Linked DNA regions of Drosophila melanogaster. The protein of the gene in region 3 purifies or fractionates together with the protein of the main gene of each other region. This does not show direct contact. Each region holds a gene or a part of one and is shown on either strand. Other genes may lie near its edges.

Region 1 (3,533 bases), on a different chromosome or scaffold from region 3:
ACAACCAGGAGCTCAGTGCCAGAGCCAATGTCCTCAATCGTGTGGGCCACCAGCAGGACAAGTGGAAGCGGCAGGTGCGCGAGCAGAGACGCCACATCTACGACAGGCATACCATGCTAAACTAACAAGGGGTTCGGTTTGCAGCTGGCGGAGATTAGGAGGCGCATGGGCGACTTAAGACACGTATTCCAAGCAGTTATCCTTTGCGAAATTCCCCTTTGGATCAAATTGATTATCTGTATATTTAGCCAGATTTTATGTTAATTAAAATAAACCAAAATATGTTTGTCAGGAGTGTTTGCATATTAATTAATAAGTTGAATGCCGGGAGGAATAACCAACAAATCCACTAAAATAAAACTTTTAATGATAATTGATGGTTATAATTTGGGAAAATAAGGAACGTAAGACCGTAATGGTGAGTCCAAGTTAGATTTGGAAACTCCCTTGGGCTTCTTAGTTTGACGCCTACTTTTTGATTCCATCAGTAGAGATTAACGAAAGAATAACTCGAAGATAGTTTCTATCACACAATAACCATAACTTTAAACGTATTATTTTCAGCCACATTTATTTTTAATAAATCATGTAACCACATATCCTTAGACAAGTGTTTTTTTTTAATGCAAAACCGCCGAGCTAGACCTAAACTAAGTTCATTCAGAATCGGAGGCTCTAGTATCCCTTTATGGTTTCGGCGAATGTCCAGTTTTCGTTAACTTGGAAGGGCCCCTCCACGCCGCATCCGTTGACGCTGCACACGCCCACAGTGTATTGGGAAATATTACGAGTATCGCGGTAGTAAAGCACCTCCATGCATGTGCGGATCTAGAATATAAGAAAATGGTAGGGTAGTTAAATAATGAAGAGTCCCCCCATCAGAGTTCGAAATTCCTTACCAGTTCGGAAGCTTCTACGGCGGTAAAGTCCCTGTCCTTGGGCTTCTTCTCACGGACCAGCGGAACGGCCAAATGGCGGGCAAAACCAGTGGCCACCACGTAGTCCTCGTAGGATCGTCCACGGAGATCCACGTTGGCCAGGTACGGAGTCCCCTCGTTGTCCACGCCGCCGACAACCACGTCAATGTAGAGGGGGTTCATCCGCGAACGACGGTTGTAGAGCACACGGGTCATCCAACTGGCCAAGGACTTGGGCTTCATCTCGATGTTGTCGTCGCAGCACTGGTCCTCGATCATCTTCTGGTCGATGTTGCGCTTGATGGACTGGATGTCAGCGAAGTCGCCGCTCCCGCCGAGCAGGATGTTCTTGTTGACCTTAAAGACGCGCTCAATGTTTTGGTAGCGGGCCATGGATCCGTAAGACACCAGGGTGTCGGCGGCCAGCATCACTCCTGAATCATAGCGAATGCCAAGCACGGAAGTGCCCGTGGTGCTGGAAGCACTGCGGAATAGTAAAAGGAGTGTAAACAAGTGGTACATCTGCATATAAACATATCCGCAGTTCCTACGTGCTGTGCTTGGTTCCATAGGGTCCCATTGTGGTCAGCTCCCGCGGTAGCTGCTGGACCGGCGTCTGTCCGCCCGTGAAGTTGTAGAACTCGCCGGGAGCGGGTCCGTTCTGCCACATGGGCTGCGCTAGGCTGTTGTAGTTGTTCAACATGCTAATTTATTCGGAGACTGGAATAACGCGAGACTTTGAAATGTTTGTCGCTGCCGGAGAATGACGGGCACAAATAAAATCAAGAGTCAGCGCAGTGTGAACAGACTTTAGGCGGGCGGCAATACCAGTATCGGCAACCGGTAGCTAAAAATACCAGACATACCAAAGATGAATCCACTATTAGCTTGGTCACACCGTTTTACATGTGTTAAATTAAATTAATTTGAAGTTTAATTGTGAACTTTTTAACATTTTATTAGATGTTGATGTTAAAAGTAATGTAAAACAGTTAACACCACGCTGCCTATACTGAATTTGTTTTTTTACTTTTGTCTTTATAATCCTCGTTGATAATACAAATCAAGGAGAAGAAAGATAAGAAATTAAAGAACTTTTCACTCAATTAGGATTAAGACTCATGTATACCCGTTGCTTCTACGGTATTTACTACTCCTTGAAACTAAATATATGTTTAGTTAATATATAATGACCATTTGCTTTACTTCATTTTAAGCCGTTCAATGGTCATTAAAGTATAAGAATCGAGAGCAATAAATGTAAATGACGTTTGGAAATTATCCTGGTCAATCTACAAATCCAATATCTCCCTTCTCTCCCTTCGAACACGATTCTCCATAGCTTTTTAAGCGGAATAAGGTTCTTTTGCTAAAACTTCTGCTTTTATTCATATTGGTGGGAAAAACGCACATGTTCCGGATTGTTGTTTTTGGGAACCCAACGAAGTTTTTTATCATAACATTTGATCATATAAATTAATAATAAAGAATTATAAATTTGAAGACATATAAATACATTTTTATTGCCAGTATACCAGTACACAATTTGTAAATATATAGGTATGTGCATAATGCTTCCGAGGGGAATGTTTAGGTTGCTGCCGCATCTTTCAGATGCCATAATACAGTCGATAATATCAGTTGCTTTATTGAGCTATGCTAAAAACAATGACGGGGAGACCCGCTCTTTAACACGATACATATACGAATAAGGATACCCTACGCAAAACTAAGAGCTACATGTCACGGCCAACGATTGATGCTAATTCTATGGGGTTAAAGCTTCTAGTCCTTGCAGCAGCAGTAAACATTGTCGCTAGAGCTAGCTGGGGTTGTGGGCGTGGTGCCGCCCTTGAGGGGCTTGCTGTAGGAATGGGGACCCCGCATGAAGACCTCGATGAGCTGACAATGCGATCTGCCAGATACGGAACGGTTAATAAGCGATTTATTGAAGTTAAAGGTACAACCAACTCACCGCATGGTTATGTCCAGGTCGGTCACCACCTCTCCATCACAGTTCCAGCTGGAAAACTCCGTCGAGGAGGAGTGGGCGGTCATTTCTTCAGGCGGTGTAATCGGCTGACAAGACCCTGCCAAGCTGTAGTCCTCCTCGCTGGCAGAAAAAGTTCTGAACCGGAATTCCCTTGTGCGATATACCTCTACAAAAGGCAAATTGCGCTGCAATGGGAAAATGTTTTTAAATATTTATTGTTTTCTACAAAATTTAATTGTATCCTTTTATTTTTCATTTATATTTTTACAGTAAAAGATACCATCGCATTCACTAGATAAAACATTATATTGTTGAAACTGGTCAAGTATATACTTTATATGGATGCCACCAGAGCGGCTAGTAGATCTTCGTAAAATAACCTTTCTGTCACAGATTTCCCTCGCTTCAATCCGAGCTAGATGGGGTTCGGTTTTGGGTTTTTGGCTTTTAGGATAGAAAGCACTAAGCTCAGCTTGTAGGCTTAGGGGATTTGGCAATTAAAGATGCAGTTAAAATGTTATGGAAATGTTATTTCAAAGGAAATGGACGCCTCTTATAGGAAAGGTGTTCTTTTGGATGTGAAAGTTGAATAGTTGTAATAGTTAGTACTCACAATATCACCA
Region 2 (3,589 bases), on a different chromosome or scaffold from region 3:
TTTATTTGCCAAAATGTTTTGTATTTACAAAGAAAAATGTTAGTAAAATTTTCAAAAATACCACATGTTTTGTTAGGCATGAATATGAATTAATAAAATATTATTCAAAATTTCTAAGAATGCTAAAATTAATAGCGGAATTTTGACAAAACGATGGTTAAACTTTTAATAAATTAATATTTATAAATCTTTATGACTTTGTGTCATAAAAATCAAACTAGAATATGTATTAAAATAAATTTAAGATAAATCTAAACAATTGCATTCGTATTTAAAAAAAAAGATGAATGATTTTACTATCTTGTATACTGAAAATATTCTATAAAAAATGCATGACAAAAAGAATTGAAATAGTTTTCGAAATCGTACACCTATGATTTGTGTGCTAATTGACACAAAATGCGTTTTAATATCCAAAAAACTCGTGATCCATTAAGAGCAGTTCAAGAATTGTGACCCAATGGTCAATATAGAGTGAATCCACGAACACTGAGACCATTTGATACCGACTAGCTAGGTTAACAAGGTAGCTGGGCATGGAGCTACATACATAAGTCGGGTTTGGTCTTTGACATTGATACGTTAAATTTCGCGCTAAAACGCATTGTCGTTAACTGGCTTTCGTTATATGTATCTACAATACTAAACGACTACTGAGAAAGTGATGATGCAACTAGTTGTCTGATTTTATGGAGGGGGAAATTCCATTATGCTCGCTCGCTACGTACTATGTACAACTTCTTGGGAAATCGACACAACCGCTTCGATTGCCTTTTTTCCCTTCGCCACATGCAAATTTGGCTGGTGGTCAGTCGCATTTGGTAAATGGCATCGGGAATGGGATATGATCAGCGGATTGAAATATTCTGTGCTGGTCCATTCACGATGTTTTATTTATATATTTATTTTGCGCTATTTGGATATGTAGCTAAGCGGATGTCACGGAATAAAGCAATCTTGTAGCGAAGATATGGGAATACGGACAGCGAACAGTAGCCGCATTGAAGGGCACGCAATATAAGTATACTATCACTTTCACAGAAATCGTTAATTGTAAACATTAGTAATGCGCCGAACCAATAAAAATGTTTTCTTTGTTCGTGCACATACGTATATAGGGATATTATGAGGTGTACATATGTATGTAGCGGTTTGTGTGTATGTGTGTGTGCAATGAAGTCACCTTAGTTAATTCCTTCAGTTAATTAAATTACACGGCTTTATGATTAAGGTGCGCACGAAAATCTTTCTTTCTACTAATCTTAACAATGCAATTTTGATGCTAACACTTTCGAGTGGAGGTATATATATAGGCGAGCATATACCCTCGACAAACAATCCGATTACGGAGCTACAAACCCTCGGTCCCAAAACAGGAGAGAGTGAAAACTAACTGAAATATACAATTAAAACGTAAACACTCCCACTGACAGCTTATCAGACTTAATGGCAAAACAATCGATTGTAGTCGATATGCAGTGATTCCGAATGCAAGTTGGGAACAAGCGAATGGAACAAGAAATTCATTTAATTTTTTAAGTATGCAGTTAATAAATTAAACTAAATATAACTTAATTGTTAGTTAAGTCCCGATAAGCCGTTATAGTTTAAAATTGTATTACTCACATGGTATGCTGTAATTGTTGGTCAATTAAACGTGTGTAGTCAGGTATAATGTGGTGCTGGAATTAATTTAACTACGATTAACAAGGTGCTCATACAAGTTTACTGATTATAATTAATATCATTATCCCCTTAAATTTGTATGCATATCCTACAATGTTCTATTGCATCGTTCCAAAAATGATAGCATGCCCGAATCCCTTATCGATACCCGATACACAGTTTGTTTGTGTCTCCCGGCGTGCCATAACTAACTATCGGGCATTTCTACTTGTCATCATTGAGCTCAGCGGCTTGCATTTCAAAAGTCATGGTAAAGTGTTTATTGCGAATAATGGTGTGCTAACTGCATTTGTTACAAACTCACATCTTTGCTTTCAGTTTCGCAACCAGTACGATAGCGATGTTACTGTGTGGAGTCCGCAGGGACGTCTCCACCAGGTGGAGTACGCAATGGAGGCCGTGAAACTTGGCACCGCAACCGTGGGCCTGAAAAATAAAGATTACGCTGTACTTGTCGCCCTGTGTAAGCCGACATCGGAGCTATCGGATACCCAGCGCAAGATCATCCCAATCGACGATCACCTGGGCATTTCCATTGCTGGCCTCACGGCTGATGCCCGCGTCCTTAGCCGGTACTTGCGCTCCGAGTGCCTGAACTACAAGCACTCGTACGATACAACCTATCCAGTCTCGCGTCTGATCACTAACCTGGGCAACAAGATGCAGACGACCACTCAGCGCTACGATCGCCGTCCGTATGGAGTGGGCCTTTTGGTCGCCGGCTACGATGAGAGGGGTCCGCACATCTATCAGGTCACGCCATCGGCGACCTTTTTCAATTGCAAGGCCAATTCGATCGGATCGCGTTCACAGAGTGCACGCACCTATCTGGAGAAGAATTTGAACAAGTTCTTGGACAGTTCCAAAGATGAAATCATCCGTCACGGAATTCGCGCTATACTCGGTACCCTGCCTACGGATGAGCAAGGCAAAGATGCCGGTCAGTATGTAAGTTCATTGCACATTTCCCGTCGCGAATAGTTAGTAAATTGTGTTTTTCTTGCAGGACATCACTGTGGCCATCGTCGGCAAAGACCAGCCATTCACAATTCTCTCTAATAAAGACAGCGCCAAGCATGTGGCGATTGCCAAAGAGAATGACAATGATACGCCCAGGAACGACGATGACGATGATCGCCCATCCCCCCCAGAGGAACCAGCAGCCGGACCACGCGACCCAGAAGTCCTGGTTGCAACCGAGCAGCGTCCATAGGCATTTATAGGGCTATGAAAGCATCTTAACCATTAAAAATGTAAGATTCAAGGATACAATAAAATTGTTCATGCATTTGCATAGATCCTAAAACGGAACAAACTGAATAAATGAATACAAAAAATCAATGTTATGGGTAAAATTTTTTGATTTTAATTTTAAACCTTCATTTATTATTTATTTATAGTATTTATTAAATATTGGTTTTTCGATATAAGTTTTCCCAACTTATTTGCATTTTTCCGATTTCACAGTTCGGTCACACTGTTGGATTAAAAATATTTATCAATGCCGGTATTGAAACATTTCTACTATAAAAAAATGTTGATTGCTTTTAGTGAATGACAAGTTATCCTCTAAGATGGTTTTTATGCCAAATAAAATGTGCCACTTCAGCGGCAACTTGTATATTTATTTGCTCACACCTAAATTACAATTAATTACATAACGAGAGTGATGGCAAATGGTTGATTTAAATAATAAAATTACATGGTTTTCTCATGAGAAAATAAAATTGTTGGTGCCTTTGCTGAAGCGCACGTAAACAGTATATGTTAGACTTCAGTTTTATTTGTTTAAAAAGTTGCTTCGAAAAGATGTACCATTGTTTACAGGAGGAACCCATGTTTTGGATGATAGATTAAGCAACAGGTGTTGTTTTATAGGGTTTTATTGCCGAAAAAGAGTAAA
Region 3 (8,014 bases):
GCGAAAAAATAGAATTCTTATATTTGGACACAGTTTAATTGGAAATTTAATTACGAGCTCATTGAGGTATGACATTTCATATTCAGGCAATTAATTTGAAAGTTGTGGCAAAAAAACGGATTTTTTGATCACATAAATTCGGAAAAACAGCTTTTGCCAAAAACGTAATATTTACAAATGGAATTTTTGTCATAAATACGCTAAAAATTGTTATATAGATGAAAAAATAACTGTTTTGAGCAGCAAATTACCAAGGCTAACGTTCCCTATCATTTTCATCGAAGAATTAAGGAAATTTTTGAATACAGTTCGATTTGGTATTTAATAACGAACACAACGAGGCATCTCATTTTATATTTGGACCATTATTTATAATGTTATGGTAAAAAAAACGGATTGTATTATGATAGAAATAACAATATTTATTCTTGGACAGAAAACTGCACAATTGGAAAATGTTTTTAGTGAAACGATGTAATTAGTTTATAAGGTTTTCCCGTAAGCTGTAAATTTCGCTCAAGCAGTTTTATTTCGCCCACACAAGTTGCATTAGTCCAGCTGTACATACAATGTCATTTATGTGTATTTTTTACTTATACATATAACGATGGCATTAATTTACTTATTTTCGTTCTACAACAAGTAATTTATATTTGCCGATATATGTATGTATATGTAGCTATATCCACTTTGAATGCAAAATAAGCATCCAAACACATGTAAGTAAATTTCCAAAAAAAGTTTTTATCTACTTTTCATGGCTTTTATTCCTTAAAAAACAAACACGTATGTTTCATACGCCCAGTTTAATTTTTTGACCGCTTCCGTAAAATTCTTTATCTGTTTCTTCTGTTTATGTGTGCCACCCAGCCAGTTGAACCGCCCTGCTGTTAATATTTTGACCGCAGCTGTACCATATGTTATCTATTTACCCTGTTTATTCTTTCCCCTAATTTAAATGAGACTTTTTCATTTATTCAGAATTTTTATCTGTTTCTTTGTTTTTTTTTTTTTGTCATGAGTTATGAGTTTTCCTAGTCGCCCATTGCTATTTTTATGGCTGCAATTGTTTGTTGGATAAGATGAGGGGGGTGAGTGCAGTGCACTGCTTGCTGGCCAGTGCAGTGCAATAGCGGCATCTCGTCTCCCGCATCGCATGCACTGCTTGCTTACCTTCACACGCACAAAAGGGGATCCCATCAGCTCGTTGAGGTCGGTCATGATGATGTCGCTCTCCTGCTCCTTCTCGCTCGCACTCAAATGCAGTTATTGCAGCGGCTACCGCTCTCTCACTCCCACTCCTGCTGCTGCCACACGCGGCGCAGACAACAACAACAATAAAACACAAAAAAAAATGAGTCGCACAGCTGTTTTGTTATTTTCGTGTGCAACAATTTGCTGAAATCGTTCCACTTTGCGTCTATTTTCACTTGCAATTCACTTTCAATTGGTGCTAAAAGCGCAATAGCTTCACTGTATGAGTGTATCTGTGTGCGTCTGTGCGTGTGTGTGTGTGTGCGCGCACTTGTTGGTCTTCTTTCGTTCTCCAAATGTTCTTGTTGTTGCTGCTGCAATATTTGGCAATCGCTGTTGTTGTTGCTGCCTTTGCACGGGGGCGTCAACAATGAACGGCGAATAACGAGTGATGTCAACAACTATTAGCTAGCCGGGGGCAAAAGTGTTATTTTCTTTTATACGCTGGAAGGCGTCAGCGCAGCAACACGACCAATTGCAATTTAAATTAAAATTGTGATGTGTGGGCCAATGTGACCGGTCGCTGTTCCGCTTATACATGCCAGTTATTATTTCGGTGTGACCGTAGCTATAAAATGCGACAGGCCGTGTTAAATACTGAATAATACCAATAACTGGTATTTTAGTTTATCAGCGATCTTCCTTCTCTGCATGTGAATGTGTGTGTGCGTGTGTGTCTGTTTATGTGCGTGTGTGTATGTTTGCGTGAGCCGCTGATAACGCAGCTGATCGGGCGATTCCATTGAATTCAAGTTTTCAATTCGCAGAGCATGGCCAGCAACTTCACCCAGTCCCAGCCGTCCAGGATCACCAGCTACATGGTCAACCAGCTGCAGCCGACGGCGCAGGAAACGAAGGTCAGTCAGACAATATCGGACATAACCTTGATCTCCTTGGCACACGGATTGTGTCTCAGTGAGATTATCGGAGCACCTACATACATATGTTAAATTCAAAAATGTATCTACTTGCAGTTGGCGCTGATTCCCAGTGCACCCCAGTGGCGCTCCCCCCAGCTGATGGTCGTCTTCGAGGACGGTGATCTGCACTCAGCGCGCCACCAGTTGCTCCAGTCCCTGCAGAATCCCTTTGCCGAGGGATCGGTGGCCACGTTGCTACTCCAGGAGAGCATTGCCGATCAGTTTGTGGGCCTAGTGGCGCAGGATTTGCGTCCGTTGTCGCAGGAGGTGTCCAAGCATCCGAGCTACACCAGCACGCTGGCCAAGATCGAAGAGCTGAAGGCCAAGACAGTACAAGGCGAAAGCCTTAAGGCTGGGGAATCACCCGTCTTGGTGTACGACTGCGTGCACAGCTATCTGGGCAATGGAGCGACGGGAGTGGTGACGGTGCACACATTCCGCACAGCCAAGGAGGCCGGCCAGTTGGCCAAAAGGGATCCCCTACCTTACGGCCAAGTTAGTCTGTGGAATGAGAAGCTGGGCTGCGCCTACGAACTGATACCACGACTACCGAGCGATATTGTGGCCATTAATTGCTTCAATCCGGACTTGGATCCCATCTGGGAATCCTTTGCTGCCGACCGCAACGATGTTCTGCTGGCCAAGAACTATCACTATGAATCGCTGGTGGTGAGCGGCAAACGGAGGATCGTCGTCTTTCCCGTGGGCACCATCTTCGGCAACTGAAGAGTGACAGTTCTGGACTTCGACGGCGACGAATCACATCCGGAAGGAATTACATCCAGGTGCTTTTTAAGCCATACTTTAAAATACCTCTCTAAGCATTTTACATGTAGCTTGGGGCATCCTTTTCGACAGTTCAATTGGAATTATATCGAACTAAATTAGGAGTTATGTCAAACAACTAGCATTTAATGTGGCTTAACTTAGAAATTATCTGATTTTGCAACCATCATAATATTCCAATTGTATTGCGAAAAGGTCCTTGAGTCTGAATTGTTTTTTTGATACTCTGTCAATAATTGTCCACTGAAAAATCATCAGCCAACTTTTATGCATCTGTGGGAATTTGGGGTAGGTCCACGAATCTCTGCATGCAACAGGCATTTTTTCAGGACATGCGCAAGTGCTGCTCCAGAAATAGAAATCCTGCAAAGCAGTTTAAATGGAAGCAGTTGAAGGGCACACTCATACACTTGGGGCCAAAATAATAGCGCTCATTTTAGTAAACTTAACATACTATGAAGTAAATGAACCATTTAACTGATAAACTGGTAATGATTTCAATGAAAATTTTTAAAAGAACATTTTGTTTTGTGCGAGCTACGCAGCGATCGATCAACTTAACCCTTTATCTTATCTATTTCATTGTAAACGGACAACAAATATGGAAAAATTTCCAGATGTAGAAATGTACATACTATGTGTGGAATTTAGGTTTTTGCTCATTTCTTTTGTTCTCTAACTAGAGCCTGCTTGAATTGACTTACATACATTAAAAGAGCTTGGCTACTTAAACGTAGCTATTGTGTTAGCCTGAGTTGTTTGAGTGTGCGTGTATTTGTGTTGGCAACTAAAGTATACTTTGCCTTTCTCTCCTCGTTGTTTTTATTCTCAAGATTTTAGTACAAATTCCCTTTTTGATTTCGACTATCTGGAAATTAGTTTTGTTTTATTGTTTTTATTTTCTTACAAATAGTAATTTTTCAGTGCTGGCAAATATACCATATCGCCGTTTATAGTTTGTGTGTGTGTGTAAACTAACTGTAACTAAACAAAGATAGTATACTTAAGTTAGTTCACAACAATACAATTCACACTGCACTCTCTTCTCTTCTCGCACATCACCCCCTTTCTCTTTGGCCCTCTCTAATGCTCTCTCTCTCACCCACTCTCTTTCGTTCTTGCATCCCCTTCTGTGACGTAGCGCCGCACCATTCATGCTCCACTTTCACACGGGAGAGAGCGAGAACGCCACAGAGCCAGCCATTAGAGAGGGAGCGAGCTGTGGTGACTCCAAACGCAGTGGCGCAGCAAAAGGGGCAACTAAACAATGACTGAAATTCCCAAAGAACTACGCCATCATTCTATCGCCAGAAAGTATTTACTCTTCTCACTCGAGGAATCCCCTCTGTGATTTTGGCTCGCCACCCCACAACTACGCCACTGTTACCCCTCTTGTGGTTAGAAGCTACGTTTGCTGGCGCTGCCTTTTGCTTAGGTTTGTTGTTGCGCTGTCCGTTGCCCGTTGCCATTTGCCAGTCCGTCAGTCTGCGCTGGTTCCCGCTGGCGTGGTGAGGTGTCCGCTCGCGTTGCCGCTCCCGTTCCCGCTCCCGCTCACACGGCTCTTGATTTTGGTGGACAAGCAAACCGCTTCCGCCACCGCTGGCGATACAAATACAATAACTACACTACAGCTGCCGCTCCGGCAGAGAAAATGCGTTGGCAGTTGCAGTTCCAAACGCTCAAAAGACGCTCGAAAAGCACAGACCGCCAAGCACCAACATCTCCAATCGGAATCCACGAAACCAAATAGAGCGCCACGATGCCACCGCACAAATGGACGGACGAGTCGCGGGACGCCTCCTGTTACTACGATCCATCCACCTCCTCCAATTCATCCGCCTCGGCGGAGCGCTCCGACGACGAAGCGGACGACGAACGGGAGGCGTTTTGCTCCGGCGAACGACCGCTAATCCGCTCCAGCGGCGCTGCGGAGGGTGAGTAGCTACAAGATACACAGATGGGGAAAGATATTTACCTAGCTATAGCATATGTAGGTGGAGCAACGTAGATATGCGTATTACAAGCTCAAGATACCTTTATTTATTTAAATCTTTAGTGCTATTTCTGCTTCATATTGATTTGCATTTATGTATTGTACATACATATGTCCTGGGTCAGTACTTTTATTAAACATAAACTCTCGGAATATCTGTGTAAAAAAAAACAGTACTCAACGCAAAGATACTTTTTGTTGTAAACAAATTTCATTTTACGTATATCCAAGACACTCTAAAATTGTATCTTTCAATTTATAATAATTCTCATTTAATCTTAAAGTAAGATATTATATGGCTTATAGATTTCAATAACTAATAAAAATAATTAAAATGTTTTTATACATATAACATAACATACATATAATATAAAATAACCTAATAATTACGCATAAATTTTAATTTTCACGTAATACTATCCAGTTATCCAGTTAACAGCCTATGCCTATGTATAATTTATTCGCCAAGGGCCGAAATTACGACTTGTTTACATTTACTGATATGAAGCGAAGTTTTTCTGAACTTTATAGAACAGTACAAATCTGCATTTCAAATGGAACGGAGGGCCGATAACTTTTTCGATGGTATCAGATCGTAATATTTTTATTTTAGATTTTATACTTGAGCGATTCCTATGAACAAGTATCTGAAAAGAAATTAAATTCACTGGCAATGGCATCTCATGTAAACATTTCTAAAGGAATAAAAAAGTGAAGAAATTGAGGCAATTTAAACTATGCAATGATAACACATTGAATGGTATTTAGGGATTTTCAGTGTAACATTGGGCCTTATCGAGAACGGCGAGAACTTTTAAGTAAAACCGGAACTGATATCGTTATTACGCCTCCTAAACCATAGCTTACTAACCATCCACTCTCTCCTCTCTCCACCCTGCAGAAAACCATGGCTGTGGCCCAAAGACGCGTCACATTTTCGGATTCATGGGCTTCCTGGGATTCGCCGTGGTCTACGCGATGCGGGTCAATCTGTCGGTGGCCATTGTGGCCATGGTGAACCAAACGGCAATTCCGCACAGCAACTCATCGGTGATTGATACGGACACGTGTCCACTACCGGCACCACATCACAATGGTAGCGATCCCAATCCGCAGAAGGAGGGCGAGTTTGTGTGGGACGAGGCCACGCAGGGATTGGTGCTCGGCAGTTTCTTCTATGGCTATGTGCTAACCCAAGTGCCCGGCGGACGGATGGCCGAGCTGTATGGTGGGAAGAAGATCTACGGCTATGGAGTGTTGATCACGGCGGTCTTTACGCTTATAACTCCATTGGCTGCCCACTGGGATCTGCCGCTGTTGGTCCTGGTCCGCATCCTGGAGGGAATGGGCGAGGGCGTCACCTATCCAGCTATGCACGCCATGCTTGCCCACTGGATACCGCCGCTGGAGAGGAACAAGTTCGCCGCAATCGTCTATGCGGGCTCCAATATCGGAACAGTCATTTCCATGCCGCTGGCCGGATGGCTGTGCTCGCTGGACTTCCTGGGTGGCTGGCCGTCGGCTTTCTACATCTTCGGACTGTTGGGCATTCTGTGGTTCATCGCATGGATGTATTTGGTGTACGACAAGCCTAGCGATCATCCCAGGATCTCAGAATCGGAGCGAGAGTATATCGAAAGGAGTCTACAGGTTCAGAGGCTAATAAATCAGGATCTAGCGGAGGCCGAGGAAGAGGAGGGACAGGATGAAGTGAGTCTGCGGGCGCCGCCGGAGGAACCGATACCCTGGTCATCGCTGCTCACATCCGTACCTCTGTGGGCCATCTTGTTGACGCAATGCGGCCAGGGATGGGCCTTCTACACGCAGCTAACCGAGCTGCCCACCTACATGAGCAACATCCTACACTTTGACATCCAGTCGAATGCTCTGCTCAATGCGGTGCCGTATCTAACCTCCTGGTTCGTGGGCATTGCCTGCTCCGCCCTGGCGGATTGGATGCTAGCCAGACGCTACATATCGCTGCTGAACTCGTATAAGTTGTGGAACACGGTGGCCTCCGTGGTGCCATCACTGGGCCTGATTGGCATCATCTATGTGGGCTGCGATTGGGTGTGGGTCACCTTTATGTTGGCCGGCGTGGGCTCTTTCGGCGGCGCCGTCTATGCTGGCAACCAGATGAATCACATAGCGCTCAGTCCACGATATGCAGGCACCATGTATGGCATCACCAATTCGGCGGCAAATATCTGTGGCTTCCTGGCTCCGTATGTCATCGGTCTAATCATCAATCATCGCGAGACTCTGACACAGTGGCATCTGGTCTTCTGGCTGGCGGCGGGCTTGAATATAGCCGGTAACTTCATCTACCTGATCTTCGCCAGCGCCGAGGAGCAAAGCTGGTCGAAGACACCACCCACACGCAACTCACGATCCCAGCGCGCTTGAAGCAAGCCTAACTATACGCTATTTTAGCTAGATCATAAGCATTTGTGATAATTCCGATATATACACATATATCCTACATATGTATTTGGGCTCGAAGTTTTCCGGATGCAGGACAAGAATGTGGCTTCCAAAAAGAAAAAAAAAAAACGAAACGAACGAAACTAGTGCTACCAAATCGGAATGGAAAATCGAAAGGATGTTAACTGTTTTAGTGTATTATATACGTGTATCGTCCTTTTATATGGACTTTTGTTTTGCTAGGCGTCTTTTTTTTGTAAACAATTATACCAATACCAACTATATATATATATACATATATATTTATATATCTATCATATACACGCTCGAAGGCACGTAGATCTGTCGAAATAAACAGCACAAACATATCGAACTGTGGCACCTGATTTAAGCATTTTATTCTTTAACTGGCAGGTGGTTTTCGTGTATCCGACTAAGTAATACCTCTTCATTGGAGAATTATGATTTGATGGGTTATTTATTTTATGCAGCTACTAGAGTCTTGGATTTTTAAAACACTTTTAGGCTTTTCATGTTTTTGAAGGCTGTAAAAATGTTGCATAATTTCAGGGGCGAAGTGTTCATGTCAAATTATGCCTAAAACATAAATGGGGTGTATAAAAAGTATCTCAAAATA
Region 4 (3,409 bases), on a different chromosome or scaffold from region 3:
AATAATGGGTAAGTTGGAGCTTGAAATAGTGTACCAGAAATACCCACCGATCAGCCAGAAAACGATCACACTTTTGGCAAAGCAACTGCTCCACGCTCTCTGTGATGATATAGCCAGCTTTGAGGACATCCTTAAATGCCTCCTGGACAATGCTGTAAAAAACAAGCGTTTTTTGATAAGGATATCATTGCTTAAGCAGCCAAAACTTACTCTGTTTGCTCTTGGGTTGTGGTGCGTCCAAAGTAATCAAAGCCAATGCCGAACCAGCGGTAAATGGCGTTGTGCAGTTCGAAGTACTTGTCGCAGATCTCACGGGGAGTAAGGTTCTCTGCCAGTGCCTTGTTCTCGGTGGCCGTACCGTACTCATCCGTGCCGCAAATCAAGAGTGTGTTGTAGCCAGCAGAACGCGAGTAACGAGCATAGATATCCGCAGAGAGAACACAACCAATGATGTTGCCCAAATGTGGCACATTGTTGACATAGGGAAGCGCCGAGGTGATGAGCACGTTACGCTCACCGGGCTTGGGAAGAACAGTTCGCTCCTCCTTGATTTCCTTTGGAGCTGTGTAGGTAAAGGCAGCCTTCGCCGCGCTTATTTCCTCATTCGTAACAGTATCCGCCACCGTTGGCGTGGTATCCACAAGAAGTTTGCTTGCATCCGCCAGGCTGAGACGTTTTAATGGTACATGATGCAAACCTCCATAGCGATTTGACTGCTGCAGAGCATTAAAGCTTAGATCCTTTAGTGGCTGTTCGGCAAGAACTTCCTGAACTTCGGGAAGCGCTTTCACCCTGCCATACCAATCCCTCAAGTTGTCCACGTTCTGTGCTCCCTTGAGAGTGCCATCGGGAGCAAGGAGCGACCAAATGGCGATGTCGGCGGCACTGGGTTTGTCGCCAGCCAGGTAGGGGGTAGCTTTCAGTTTGTCATCCAGCTTCTTGACCAGAGCATTCAGCACGGGCAGCGCGTTTGCATCTGCCTTGTGGCCCACAGCCATGTGGTGGGCCAAAGCCGGGGCCAGCAACGTGGCAGACCATTCCAGCCACTAGGGAGAGAGCACATACGGGAATTAGTTTAACCTTCAGGGGTCAATGGGCCAATAAGTAATTTTCGGAACCCATACCTCATCGCGCTGCTGCCCCTTGCCCACGAAAAGGTACTTGGCAATGGCCGCCGGCGAGAACAAACGCAATCCGTTGTCCAGCTCCAAAGTGGGCAGCACCAGCAAGTCCTTGTACTTAGCGTCTGCAATTAACAATAGTTATTGCATCAGAAATGAGTCATTTTCAGAGCATTCCCCAGAATTCGAAGGGAATCCGTGGCAGAACTCACCATTTAGGTTAACCAACTGCACCTGCACCGGCTGCTTGGCAAATTTGGCGAGCATTAGCAGCTGCAGTCCCAGCGGGTTGCCATCATTCGTGTAGATTATCATTTTGCCTGGATCGGACGCTAATTCTAATTCAATTTACGTGGCAAAAAGGGTTAAAAATCCAACCAAAGTTTTGACGATGCCCACGAGAAACTATTATTTTGGTGATGGGACAGATGGAAAAGCTGTCACGCCGTCGGTGATGTTATCGATTACTTATTTATTTTATATGTCAAATAATTTGAAATAAACAGTTGGCATTAAAGTAACAGGTAATATAGTAGGTCATATTTATTACATATTAATTGTAATATGACTAATAATAACAAGACTAATTCATATATGATTTTCTGGCTATTTTTAGCGTTTTCCGCACCACCGATAATGTCATCACCAGCGACCCGAAACAGCTGATTTAAAAAAAGCAGAAATGTTTATTTACATTTGACAGCAAAAGATTGAGCTTGTAATTAGTTTAAATATTTAAGTAATCCTATCCACTTAAAAAATGGGTGAACGCAAGGGACAGAACAAGTACTATCCGCCCGACTATGATCCGAAGAAGGGCGGTCTCAACAAGTTCCAGGGAACCCACGCCCTGCGGGAACGGGCCCGCAAGATTCACCTGGGAATCATCATCATCCGCTTTGAGATGCCCTACAATATCTGGTGTGATGGATGCAAGAACCACATCGGCATGGGCGTGCGCTACAATGCGGAGAAGACCAAGGTGGGCATGTACTACACTACGCCGGTTTTTAAGTTCCGGATGAAGTGCCACTTGTGCGACAACCACTTTGAGATCCAGACGGATCCCGGCAATTTGGACTATGTTATACTTTCGGGGGCTAGACGGCAGGAGAACCGCTGGGATCCCTTGCAGAACGAACAAGTTGTACCGGAAACCAAGGAGGTACAAAAGCGTCTCTTCGACGATGCCATGTACAAGTTGGAGCATCAAGCCAAGGATGCTAAGGCAGGGGCAGATGCCAGGCCCGTGCTCCAGAAACTAGTGGAGCGCAACATGAGCGTCTGGGATGACAGCTATATGGCCAATAGTCGCCTACGCGCCGAGTTTCGCCAGCAGAAGAAAGAGATCAATGGTCAGCAGGAGCTGGATCGACAGTTGTTGGCCAAGAGCAGCTTGGACATTGCTCTCCTTCCGGAGACCACACAAGATCGCGAAATGGCAGCCCTGATGAAGTTGCAGACGAAGTCAGCTCTGGAACGGGAATCCGAGCAGCGGTTGGAGCTGCTTATGCGTCCAGCGCTTCCCGGAGCAACAGTCACCACATTTGGTGGACTCAAGCGACAAAAGGTTCTGAATACCCAGCTCCAAGTACAGGATCTTGGCATACGGCGTAAAAAGTTGGAAGAAACTACATCTTCAGCCACGAACGAAAAACCCATAAGCTTAGTGGGGGATTACTCCTCCTCAGACAATGATTCCAACGGCTGATTTTATAATGCTTTCTTTATAAATAATTAAATGATTGTATAAAACAAAATAAGTACAAATAAAAAGAATTCTAATATAATCCGTCATTGGGATCCGCGTGTTCGGCGCCTTCATCACCATTATCCTCATTAACCTCGACGGGTTCCTCGTTGATTTCACCATCTATCGTTTTGTAGAGCACCGCTTGAATGCGTTTGCACAACTCAACTAGCTGGTTGTTGTTGATCATGTCGTTGACCAAATCCTCGACCAGGCGCAGTTTGTTGTAGATCTGATTGCTGGCCTCCATGATGTCCTCCCGCTTCAGGCTTAGGTTCTTCATTTCATCAATCAGCTCTTTGAGCGCATCATCATTGGCGTTGACTGGTGATCGCTCCTTGGCGAATTGGCGCGGCTTTATGGGCTTTGCCAACGGCGCATTGGCCAGCGACTTAATGTTCTCCAAGCCCGGAGCCTGCGAGTCGAAGAACTTCTTGAACCACTGCAGGAACTCAAAGTTGTCCTGGAAGCGACCCTTGATCAGTCGATCGATTGGTACCGTTTTGTCCAGCTTCAAGCGATTGAAGGCTTCCTGGAA

Evidence for each region.
Region 1: the proteins of CG15717 (region 3) and Prosbeta7 purify together in Drosophila melanogaster (affinity purification with mass spectrometry, with the first as the bait; one large-scale study listed by BioGRID). This does not show direct contact.
Region 2: the proteins of CG15717 (region 3) and Prosalpha6 purify together in Drosophila melanogaster (affinity purification with mass spectrometry, with the first as the bait; one large-scale study listed by BioGRID). This does not show direct contact.
Region 4: the proteins of CG15717 (region 3) and CG15084 purify together in Drosophila melanogaster (affinity purification with mass spectrometry, with the first as the bait; one large-scale study listed by BioGRID). This does not show direct contact.

What each region holds. Positions count from the first base shown.
Region 1 is NT_033777.3:5,356,456-5,359,988, forward strand, and holds Prosbeta7 (proteasome beta7 subunit), read right to left. Parts: upstream 1,910-3,533; 5' UTR 1,621-1,909; coding exon 1,469-1,620; intron 1,402-1,468; coding exon 900-1,401; intron 829-899; coding exon 676-828; 3' UTR 557-675; downstream 1-556. Other genes in the region: CG1161 (uncharacterized protein), read left to right, coding at 1-125; Cerk (ceramide kinase), read right to left, coding at 2,703-2,832, 2,893-3,095, 3,524-3,533. UniProt on the Drosophila melanogaster protein: Non-catalytic component of the proteasome, a multicatalytic proteinase complex which is characterized by its ability to cleave peptides with Arg, Phe, Tyr, Leu, and Glu adjacent to the leaving group at neutral or slightly basic pH.
Region 2 is NT_033779.5:10,219,510-10,223,098, forward strand, and holds Prosalpha6 (proteasome alpha6 subunit), read left to right. Parts: upstream 1-1,841; 5' UTR 1,842-1,933; coding exon 1,934-1,936; intron 1,937-2,004; coding exon 2,005-2,634; intron 2,635-2,692; coding exon 2,693-2,899; 3' UTR 2,900-3,037; downstream 3,038-3,589. UniProt on the Drosophila melanogaster protein: The proteasome is a multicatalytic proteinase complex which is characterized by its ability to cleave peptides with Arg, Phe, Tyr, Leu, and Glu adjacent to the leaving group at neutral or slightly basic pH.
Region 3 is NC_004354.4:13,127,078-13,135,091, forward strand, and holds CG15717 (uncharacterized protein), read left to right. Parts: upstream 1-1,940; 5' UTR 1,941-2,024; coding exon 2,025-2,111; intron 2,112-2,228; coding exon 2,229-2,900; 3' UTR 2,901-2,959; exon of another isoform or gene 2,960-3,213; intron 3,214-3,915; exon of another isoform or gene 3,916-4,101; 3' UTR 4,102-4,719; coding exon of another isoform or gene 4,720-4,894; intron 4,895-5,854; coding exon of another isoform or gene 5,855-7,359; 3' UTR 7,360-7,488; downstream 7,489-8,014. Other genes in the region: CG32638 (uncharacterized protein), read right to left, coding at 1,174-1,221; MFS10 (major facilitator superfamily transporter 10), read left to right, coding at 4,720-4,894, 5,855-7,359.
Region 4 is NT_033778.4:18,849,055-18,852,463, forward strand, and holds CG15084 (uncharacterized protein), read left to right. Parts: upstream 1-1,789; 5' UTR 1,790-1,881; coding exon 1,882-2,832; 3' UTR 2,833-2,902; downstream 2,903-3,409. Other genes in the region: MetRS (Methionyl-tRNA synthetase), read right to left, coding at 48-152, 211-1,046, 1,125-1,246, 1,334-1,436; CG18190 (uncharacterized protein), read right to left, coding at 2,903-3,409.